Linked DNA regions of Schizosaccharomyces pombe. The protein of the gene in region 3 purifies or fractionates together with the protein of the main gene of each other region. This does not show direct contact. Each region holds a gene or a part of one and is shown on either strand. Other genes may lie near its edges.

Evidence for each region.
Region 1: the proteins of coq12 (region 3) and coq11 purify together in Schizosaccharomyces pombe (affinity purification with mass spectrometry, with the first as the bait; one study listed by BioGRID). This does not show direct contact.
Region 2: the proteins of coq12 (region 3) and mrpl35 purify together in Schizosaccharomyces pombe (affinity purification with mass spectrometry, with the first as the bait; one study listed by BioGRID). This does not show direct contact.

What each region holds. Positions count from the first base shown.
Region 1 is NC_003421.2:2,273,698-2,277,456, forward strand, and holds coq11 (ubiquinone biosynthesis protein Coq11), read right to left. Parts: upstream 1,773-3,759; 5' UTR 1,502-1,772; coding exon 671-1,501; 3' UTR 470-670; downstream 1-469. Other genes in the region: pdi5 (protein disulfide isomerase), read right to left, coding at 1-147. UniProt on the Schizosaccharomyces pombe protein: Acts in the coenzyme Q biosynthetic pathway.
Region 2 is NC_003423.3:1,718,809-1,722,567, forward strand, and holds mrpl35 (mitochondrial ribosomal protein subunit L35), read right to left. Parts: upstream 1,689-3,759; 5' UTR 1,670-1,688; coding exon 743-1,669; 3' UTR 417-742; downstream 1-416. Other genes in the region: transcriptional activator MBF subunit Rep2, read left to right, coding at 1-75.
Region 3 is NC_003424.3:3,880,537-3,884,295, reverse strand, and holds coq12 (NADH-dependent flavin oxidoreductase), read right to left. Parts: upstream 1,882-3,759; 5' UTR 1,770-1,881; coding exon 1,035-1,769; 3' UTR 676-1,034; coding exon of another isoform or gene 205-675; 3' UTR 40-204; downstream 1-39. Other genes in the region: protein tyrosine phosphatase Stp1, read left to right, coding at 205-675; SPOM_SPAC1071.13 (uncharacterized protein), read right to left, coding at 2,634-2,951. UniProt on the Schizosaccharomyces pombe protein: NADH-dependent flavin reductase that acts in the coenzyme Q biosynthetic pathway. Required for synthesis of the p-hydroxybenzoic acid (PHB) precursor to form a quinone backbone.

The DNA.
Region 1 (3,759 bases), on a different chromosome or scaffold from region 3:
AACTGTAGCAGAAACAGAGCTCAAAATATTTTCGAACTCTTCTCCTTCTGGTGAATGCACCAAGTTAACTGCTTTACAAAAGGCATGGCGCGTAATCGCGAACAGGAACGCAATATAGAGAATAGATCTCCAAGCACCCAGCTCCATAAATAATTTACGACTGTAAGTCCAATTTGAATAAGTAAATTAAAAGGATTATGAACTTCTCTATCTTCTTAATTCTTTAATTCACCGAGGACCTTTCGAATGCGTGCGTTTGATATAGGTAGTGCGAGGTGTATAATAAGGTAAAATGTATGGTTACTACAACAGCTGATATATCGAAGCAAATATAGCTCGAGTTAACATGGGAAAAGAGCTTTCTTTCTAATTTTTTGAAATAACTTGTTTTAATTTTCTAGTTAATAAATACAGTCAGGAAGCAAATTTGGCAATTATAGTTGGAAAAGATTCTACGACTTAGATAACAGTAGTTCAAATGATGTAAATATTGAGCAGAGAATTTAAATTAGACGATACTTTTTCTCTTTGTTTAGCAATCATATTTTAACTTGAAAGTATAAAGACGTATTCAGGTAGATATAATTAAGACTGGTCAAAATTCATTACACATAACCCAATCATTCATTTTCATAAACTTATGATGTGTAATTTACTTTTAACAAGAGAATCATAGAGATTTTTGCTTAAACTTATGAGCCATAGATTTTAATTCGGAAATTTCCACAGGACCCTTGACACTGGGATCAGAAATAGCCTCCAAAGCAGCCAAAGCAACTTCCTCAGAAGGAAGGGGTTCAGCCGAAGCGGTTCCGAGGAAATTTAAAGCACCAGAGGTTGCTCGATTGATGCTGGATGAGACAGTAAAAAGAGACGCAAGGGCGCCTGTGAAAGGACGATCATTAAAGTTATACATAAAACCAGGACGGAGAAATATAGAACGAAGGTTTGAAATTTTAGATATTTCCCTTTCAGCTTCACGTTTCGTTTTTATGTAGCGGGGATCCAACCCGGGAGCCGCTGCATGAGCAGACACATAGCAATACACAGGGACATTAGCTTTGGCGGCAATCTTAGCTGTTTCAATAGCTAAATCTCGATTGATTGCTTCAAATGTAACTTTATTTTTAGATTGCTTTGCTTCTTCAGGTTTAGGTGCTAAAGGGTTTTGGCCAGTTTTAAACATGTTAGAGCTAAGACTATTGATTAAATGCGAAACTGGTCCTCTGGGATTCTGTAAAATCTTTTTATAGTTATTTTCCATAAGGATACCAACACTGTTCACCACTGCCGAGGCATCACGAAGAACAGGAAGTAATGAATTTGGATCTTTTTGAGCATCCAACGTCTCCCATTCAACATCATCCATCCATGGTTCTTTGTTATGCAATCCTCCAGCTCCTCTTCGGGATACTGAAACCACCTCGTAACCCTTAGCAATGGCTAATTTGCAAATATTATGCCCTAAAAAGCCTGAACCACCTAAAACAACAATTTTCATACTTAAAACGAGGGAGAAAGTAAAAATAAAATTATTTAAAGAATTTAAATCTTCAAATTAGACAATTTGATATAGGCCAGCCCAAATTATTATAAGGATTAGAACCCCAGAATTGTTAATGTAAGCTAACACCTCAAAGTTTCGTGATGCTTATTATTAATCTTAATAATTGAGAAACACAAAAATGCTGTCTCAAAATATTTTTAAAATTTCCTTTTACGAACAATGTTCAAAAAACCCTTTCAACCTGAGTAGTTAGTAAATCGTAGTTGAAGAGAATGAGGTAATGTGCTAGCTCAATAAGGAAGACCAAGAGATGGAAAGAGGTAATTAATTATCTTCTATTAGACTTATTAATTTATAAAAATATGTACATCATTTAATAAGTATGCAAAATAACCATCATTCATAATTGGAGTATTAGTAAAAGTTTGTCTTAAATGAGAGCGCTAAAAAAAATTAAAAATAAAAATGCTTTGATAATTTAGTCTTTAATTTTCTATACTTTATAAGCCATTGATTAATTTCTTAATTATCTTTGGATTTTAAATTCGTAATAATAAGATCTCAAATTCAAATACTTCATAAACCCATTTACAAATATGTTAGATTAATAACAAATTCAATTTTAAGCTAACAATAGAGCTTATGAATCATAATATTTATTCCGATAACCCTGAAGACACAATTTCGAGTTTTATGAAGTGTCTGAGAAGCCAGTTGATTGCTATTCTGTTCATACAGAAAATTTCGTGATTCATAGCAAGAGGAAAGAAAAAATCTCAAATTTTTTTTATTTTTTTTTAATTAATATTATTACATATTTAGTTGATCGATCAAGAAATCGTTGAGCGAAAGTATTAAATTCATATATTCTAAAACAATACACTGTGGTTTAATTTTATAAATTTAAAATAACTGATCGTTACGAGATCTATTAGAATTTTAAGTCTTCTTATTATTGATATCTACACCTTTTTTGTTTTGAAAATATATAAATCTTATTTTTTTTCTTTCATTCTAATCAACATCCTTTTTTTTTTTTTGAAATTGTTTTAAATCAAATGTGTATTTCATTATATTGTGACTGATAAAAATATGTTTGCGAAAGCAACATTTGAACAGATTGAGTAAATAGGCTATGATATAGTAAATCTTTAAATTTAATTTAATTCTCAATACCAAATAAATATTTCTTCAAAAAGGGTTACAAATAAATTAGCTATACTGTGGAGTATATGATATATCGATCCCCCTGATGTAACAAATATAACATATAACAATATGTGTTTAAGTATGAGTATATTCAGAATACATTGGAAATAACGAAAATCCAAATGAAACATTAAGCATAAATTTCTGATTTCTAACTTGCCCTTTTTATTTTATTTTATTCATCATAGTTGTCTACTATTCCAACACAAGTTATGATGTTAATGAGTTGCTAGAATGTTTATTTGCGAGACAGTAGTATAAATATCCTTTCGTAGCTGCTGTACGTTATAACGAACAACTTAACTTTCTTAAATTTTTCTCAATAAATACTTAAATTTACATTGAAGAATATAGCTGAAAATAAATAAACTCACGATGGCAATTTCTCAGCCTCTTTAAGTAGATTTGCTTTTATAGTCACTATGATCTACTGGTTTAGTTCTGTGTGCTGCTTCGTCAAAGTTGTAAGTCTTCGCTTAATTATTAGCGAAACTTTATTTTATCAGATAGGGATAATATCCAAGAAAATTGTACTACCAAGCTGCTTTGAGAAGATAATACAAGTACTGAGATGAGTGTAAAAAAGTGCCAAGGAAAACGAGCTGCGCCCTTTAACTTCATCTGTCTATATTCTAAATGCCACCTTTAAAACAAAAATCTAACTTGTCTTATAATGTAAAAACCCTAAAGCTTCGCACTTATGGTGACACATTTAGTACAAATTCTTTCTATTCCATACGTTCTTTGCTGAATAAAGAGCGAAGACCGTCCCCTTTATATTCGAGCCGTCATTAATTTTTCATTCAAAAACTAAGATAGTAAGGCACATCGATAACAATCTAAAGTTGTGAAAAAATTCTTATAAAACGGAATTCTTAAATACTTATTTCTTCCAAATTATTTAAGCAAACCTTCAAAAGAAGAATTATCCTTCAATGATTTAAACTCAACAACTATCAAATGAAGTAATTCAAGAATATAACTGTAGTCAAATATATACATCTATATTCCCCACGTCCATAAGATTTGTATATTTGTTTACA
Region 2 (3,759 bases), on a different chromosome or scaffold from region 3:
ACCTGCTTGAATCAAGTTCCCTTTAAGCTTTCGGACTTTTTTGTTGAGGACGTGATAGATGACTGGCTCTTTTAATATTTCCGTTCATACAAAGAAGCAGCTTTCGTATCTAGTAGCATTACGGATATGTAATAATTATCGCTTATTAATGACGCTGGTTATATAAAGCGTATTAAAATTTTGCTCAGTCGTTTTACTCTTGAGAGCTTCATCACTTCTTTTAGAGAAGTTATTTTGAGATCATAGTATAATTTACTACATCAATTAGGTAATCAAGAAATATAGTTTGAAATGATAGAAGACTGCTCTTATAACCTTGTTTTAGGAAACGATCATCTATGCACTTTTTTCTATGTTTTGCTATCAAATATCACTATTACAGACACTATCTTTTTATTTTCGCGAAAGCTATAATGAAATATATTACAATACAGCTCACACTTCATCTAGATTGAGCAAACATACTGTAAAGAGGAAACACCAGTTCTAAAGTTACAACTGACTTTAGTTTAAGGCATAGGATAGGCATTTTATTCACAGATTTGCAATTGATTTAATAAGAGGAAAGTAAAATAGGACTATGGAACAAGGCTATCGTCTTAAAAAAACCTAAGAAGGGAAATCATGTAAAAGATAAACTATTTTGACACGAGAGGAGGGAAGCAATGCATGCTAATGTTTTGAAACATGGAATGAAAAAATGACTTATAAAAACAATATTTTAGGGGCTCTTTTAGTAGTTTCATGCAGGGATACGTTCTACACGGATATCTCGATATTCGTGTACAGACGGGTGCTTGGATAATAATGCAACTGCGTCCGAATCCCAGCCACTTCTCCAAAGATGAGCGCCAACAGGTTCAAGATCATAGATTGAGCAAAACTCAGAGAGGTCAAATCGTTCGCGGACAAGTGCATTAGAAGGAATACTAATACTAGATGACTTTTGCCGCAAAACAAGGGTTAAGATACGGTGTTTATCTTCTCCACGGTGAACAATAGGAGGCCGATATTGAAAGAAAGCTTTAGAAGTATCAATGGGCACACGTTTGGATGCTTCAATGGGGATATTCGTTAAAAGCCAGTTGCAATGAGTCTCAAACCGGTTTGTTTCGTAATTCGGGACATCCAAATCTAGTGTTATAACTGAATAATGATTCTTTTTACAATTAAAGGGTAAAACTGATAGCCACGGGGTCTTTACAGTAACCGTACTTGGCAAGATAGTGCCAGGAGTGATAGAATCATTATTTTCGGGGTTAAATCCTAACTGTACGTCGACAGATGGCGAAAATGAGCCAATCCCAGAGTCCTTTATTACTTTCATCTGCTCCAATCTTTGTAAAAGAAGCAATTTTTGATAATCTTCCCACTGTTGCTTAAGCATGTAAAGGAACACCGGATTCGTGTAGTCGATCTCCTTTTTATGAAATTTAGAGCGTACTTCCGGTAAATTAATTTGTGATAAAACCTGTAACCGTTCTATTTCTGGGGAAGTTTCACTTGGGTTTTCTAATAATTTAGCCTGAAGCTTTTTGTGAACTTTCTCCGAGTATTCCTGTATTAACTTTACAGAAGAGCGATATGCATTTTCCTGAGCAGCACTGTAAATACTGCGAGCCCTACAGACATTCGAAATCGTAGGAATTCTAGGCCATACGCGTTTCATCCTTGCAATGGTAAAAGCTAAGTAATTAACGGTATGGATGTGTATAGGAATAGAATAACACAAGAGGGTATAGCGCAGTGTAAGGAATGCTAATGCACAGCTTTTTCGATATTTACGGTTATACAAAATAAAATTAGAAATGGAAACTGTGGATGTTAAACATGTTAATTGGAAAAGGTCAATCATACCGAGTCCCTTCAAGGTTATGACCAAAGTTTTAGTGGTAGGTTTAAGCAACAATTCTACTCCCGTAAGCTGCTTCTAATGGGAACTAGACTGTAGCAATAGCGTTCATGTTTAACCAAAAGCTACAAGTTATATGAAACGGTCATTTGCAAAAGTCAGTAAGTTTCAATGACTATAATGAAAATATATTGACTCGACGACACATAGTGAATCATGAGTCAGAGTCCGTATGAAGTAATATGTTCCTAATTTGACGGCTGCATTGAAAATTCAGCAATCGGAAGGAATGAATAAGAGAAAAATATTCAAAAGAAGTGAAATAGCTACGTGGGTTAATCAATAGTGTCTACGTCCAATTATTATCTGAGGTATACACATGCAACAATCACGGCATTTACATCTCAGTAAATTAAAATAAAGAAAAATAATATCATTAAATTAAGTCAAAAGGTTTAAAGGTGATATCCTATGAATTCGGGAAATTGCCAACTATATCTTAGATAGTCACATTTCTACCAAATTGACGTAGAGCTTAATTAAATATTCCAGATGTTGCTAAAGTATTCTCATATTGTCAACTGCGAAGTTCAACATCTTTCGATTTGCAGAACTGATTCAATCCAGTGGCTAACTCATGGTCGTATGTACGATCCGTTCTGTCTATTTTGATTTAATGTGACCAAAAGTTAAACTTCATCTCGTGTATAGTTAAAAGATATGATAGTATACATACTAAAAATGAGAATTCTGGCAAACCAGATTTAAATCAATAACATGTTACTCTTGCTTGCGACAATATAAGTAAATGTGGGCAAGAAAGATGAAGAAGTATTAGAAACAAGTTGCGGCTAAATTTTGAGAAAGGATTGATAGCGGAAAGGCTACTAATAGTAATGATATGAGCTATTATTATCAGTAACGATAAAGCCGTTTATGGTGGCGCGCGTAAGAGAACGACAAAATTTGAAGCCTAGGTAGTTTCATCAAAACCATTAAAGGAAATAAATATGAAAAAAGCTAGCAAGAGAGGCGATATTATATTTTCGCATTCACAACTTTACTATTGACGACTACGAATACCGAGGGATAGCGTTATTATCTCTCCACAAGTAATCGGCTATTTTTTGATTGGTTTAAATAAAAGTAAATCCTGATTATATTTGACATAATCTGCATCAAATAGAACTCTAGATTTTCCTTTCCGAATATGGTGGCCAATTAACGGTACGACTGTGATGTAAATATTACACAGTGGAGCGACACGTGAATGTAGTCCCCTTCGGTTAGCTCCTTAAAATGGAGGCCTTAAAGGATAATACTGCTTGACTTTTTTAGCATAGTGCCTTTGTTAATTGCAACAAATCCCTTCAAACAAAAAAAAAATAAATTTTTATAAAGAAAAACTTTTTATTTCTATACGGCAAGTTCATCTCATAAAGTAAACAAATCATTTCCCGATTGGCTACCCTAGCCCTTCGTTTGTTTGTTTTGCAGTGACGTCAAAATTCATCTCACCCGATCAACATATATAAACATTGCGACACAAACCAAAAAGTTACCGACTGCAGCATCATATTTCTCAGCAGAAACGTATTCTTATAGTAATCCAAGTCCAAAATTAAGGAATTGGTATCTTAAACCACCTTAGTACATAGTTCTCTATTGTTTATAAGCCTCTTTACTTGCCAGGGACGCAGTAAGACATTGCTTCCTTCACCACCTTCATTATCCTTTACCTTCTTTCTCTGTCCACCTTATATATATATACTTATTTTCCCAGGAATCCTCACTTTTGCCATTAATCCATTCCATCCTTCTGTAGAACGACGAATTGTCATCCCTTCCTTTATCGTTCGTTCATTTCCTAAAACCGGGACACTACTGCATGCTTAAAACAGAGGAAA
Region 3 (3,759 bases):
ATTGTAGTTACTTTTTAGTATTTTTCAATATTGTTAAAAACGGGAGGTGCACCTACCAAAAGTTCAAACTTTTTTATTACCAATTAACTGTGGTAAAAATTCGCTTGTCTTTCATTTAAACTTACACCTTCTATAATATCTATACATTACAAATAGAAGAGGAAATTTTGACTCATCAAAAATCCCAAGAATATACTATAAACTATGACCAAGAATATTCAAGTACTTTTTGTATGCTTGGGAAACATTTGCAGAAGTCCAATGGCTGAGGCAGTTTTTCGAAATGAAGTAGAAAAGGCTGGACTCGAGGCACGTTTTGACACCATTGATAGCTGTGGCACTGGTGCATGGCATGTAGGAAATCGACCTGATCCACGAACTCTCGAAGTACTTAAAAAGAATGGCATTCATACCAAACATTTGGCAAGGAAACTTTCAACGTCTGATTTTAAAAACTTTGACTACATTTTTGCAATGGATTCGTCAAATTTGCGAAACATTAATCGTGTTAAACCTCAAGGTAGCCGTGCTAAAGTCATGCTTTTTGGAGAATATGCTAGTCCAGGAGTTTCAAAAATCGTTGATGACCCTTATTATGGAGGAAGCGATGGTTTTGGAGATTGCTATATCCAATTAGTAGATTTTTCTCAAAATTTCCTCAAATCCATTGCTTAGTTTAAGTTTGAATAGAAAATGTACAGCTTTTAAAGGTATTAAGTTCGCCCAAAAATCCAACGATAGAAATGCTTCTAGAATTTAAAATATTGATTTTTAGTTGCGTACGTTTTGACTGGCCTATTTTACAAAAACTGTATCAAAAAATAAAAACAATTGAATAAAGTCGTACAACCTTTCTTTACGTAAGTCTTTCTAGCTATATACCCTAGAAAGAAATACATAGTACACATAAATTAATGAAAATATAAAAGAAAGAATATTAAATAGCATGGAGAACACGGACCCAACATTCCTGGCTGAATCATTTTTTAAAGTAGGCATGATTACTTGCATAAGTAGCAAACTCAAAAAAAGAATTAACTTTCGAAAGAATCAATAATAGGGCTTAACGGGGATGTGCTGCAGTAGTTCCGATTATAATAAACTAAGCCTGAGCTGGATTCTAAAGGGCTAGAGCCATGTTCAACACGCTCAACGTTCGCAACGAAAAGAATGTGATCTTGTACTTGATAAGAATGAATTATTGAACAGTGCAAGAGCCCTAAGCTATCAACAAGACATGGAAGACCTTCTTTACTGAGACTGACATCGATTGGATGAAGGGGATGCAGAAGAGAATGTGAAGATGTTTGCTGTGTACGATTGCTTCCTGGAAGATCCTCTACAGAAGTAGAGTTTTTCTCTGAATTCATTAAAGGATTGATTTGATGTTTTTGTTTGGCAAGTAAGGAAGCCCATTCGGAATGCTTCTTTATTGAACTAGACAGAAGATGAACGATTACTCGATTGGATTGTTGGATGGCGTTTGCTGTACGAGAGGGAATTTTTATATTGAATGAAATTACTGGATTTGGCGTCAGAGAAACTGGCGTAAAGGATGAGGCCGTCATGCCAGCACGATGACCATCAGCAAAACCACTCGTGATGATGACAACTGGTTGTGCGAACCTACGCATTAAAAGGCGAAAAGCATTAACGTTATCATGGGAAGCGGTAGAATAGCGGTTGAAATTTGAAAAAGGCAAATGTCGAAGTATGTAGCAGGGCAATGATGAGGAAGAAGTAAAACAATGAGTAAATCGGATTGACATCAAAATATGTAAACAATTATTAAGTATATAATATTATTTGACTTAAGCACGGAAAAAAGGCAAACGACCAGAAAGCGGTAGTATAGTCATGAACTCCTTTAGTGTTGGTAATAAAATCGACCAACTGTGGACAGCGAATATAAAAGTGACTCGTGCTACTCAAATTGAGGAAATAAAACCCCTTTATTTGATTATTCAATACAACCTTTCAAACTTTTATGTTCAATAAAGATATAAAGAAAGTTGGACGAGGTTGTAGGACAGTGGTGTACTTTGTGATACTGTTTACCATTCCATTTTCATTGGGAAATTATACTCGTGCATAGAAGCTAATGTGAAACTTGAAAAAATAAACATTTAAGGGAAACATGAGAGAAGGATTCAAATTTCTATTCTTTTACCGAAAAATTGTTGTTTACAAGATAGATGCAAATCAATCAGCGAATCTGATGAGTAGTGGTAGAGAAATGAATTAATTATAGGAAAACGAAAAAATTTAATTTTAAAGCCTGATTCATCTATTCATTGACTATCAAAATATGTAGCAACAGAATAACTAAAGATACTGACCCAAAGAAAAAAAAAGTCTGCATCTATGTAAAAGTTAGAACGTTGAACCAGCGTATATGTATACTTGAGTAAAAAATTTAAAAAAATAAGAAATAAAATAAATGTAAAAATTAAAACAAATAAACCAACGTAACGTGGACAGTTGGAATTTGTAATTAGTATAACATGGAAATTTCATTTTAAAAAAAAAGAATATTAAAAAAAATATATATATATATTGTATGAATTACTTGAAGTATTGATAATTAAATTTATTTCATATTAGATTTGAATGAAAATTATCGTTTATCTTATTTACATTTTTTTTGATTGATGTTTTTTTGTGGGCAAATTGCCATTTCTATTTTTTCCACGCATGTAGTCGTTTTTCCAATAATATTTCCTTTTTCTCATACCATGCACCTTGAAAGTTTGTCTTGTTTTCATTATTATAAGGCGCATTTCCAAAGGCACAATATACGCATTCGTATGGAGTGATTCAAGATGGCGCACTTTTTGCCATGAATTGGTTCGCACATACAAATTAGAAAAACGGTAGACTTTATTATTACCAGAAAAAATAGACCGACTTTTCCAATGAATGAAAATGAAAAGATGATTGGATCGCCCCATTTCTTCATTTTTTTTTTTTAATTACATTAGGAATGCAATGAATAAAATTGATTAACGATTGTATGAAGTGTAGCTTATTTGTTCAGATAGGGTTGTCGCACAGCAACATTGAGGATATAATGAATCATGAGGAGATGGAAATGACCCAGAGATCCACTTAAAGTAGAGCGTTCTTTTTTTTTTTCTTCGCTTTATGGAATACAAAGTCTCGTATACATCAAGAAGGCGATTATTGTGGCATATGTGGATATTATAATAGTATAGCAGATAAATTTGTTATATTATGCAATAAAGTATTAGAATTAAAGATACCATATGAAGGAAAAGGAATGAGCTGAGGTATAACAAAGACAGAAAGACTATAAGCGTGTAGAAGACGTTATGGAAGTGAGATGCGAGCAATAGCACTCTGTGGTAAGTTTGCGATTCAAATTGAAACAAGAAAAAAAGCAATCATTACTTGAAATGTGTCGCTTTCAACGCGGCCGATGGAGATAATAGGTAAAGGGATAAAAAAGAAAGAGTATTGTGTGATTCATAACTAGCATAAACATAAAAGAAAATAAGCAAAAAGAAAGTTTGATGAAGATAAAGATGAAAAGCTAAAAAAATTGCAATAACTGATATCAACGAACAAAAAGGTAAACATAGAAACGAATATGTAACAAAACCTACAAAATAATGAACAACTCTTCCAAAATCAACATCTCAACCTACAGTAACACTACTGAACTTAGAATCGTATTCTTTTCAGCAAACCCATCATTCCCATTTTCCCATTACAGCCCATCATCCATTATATATTATT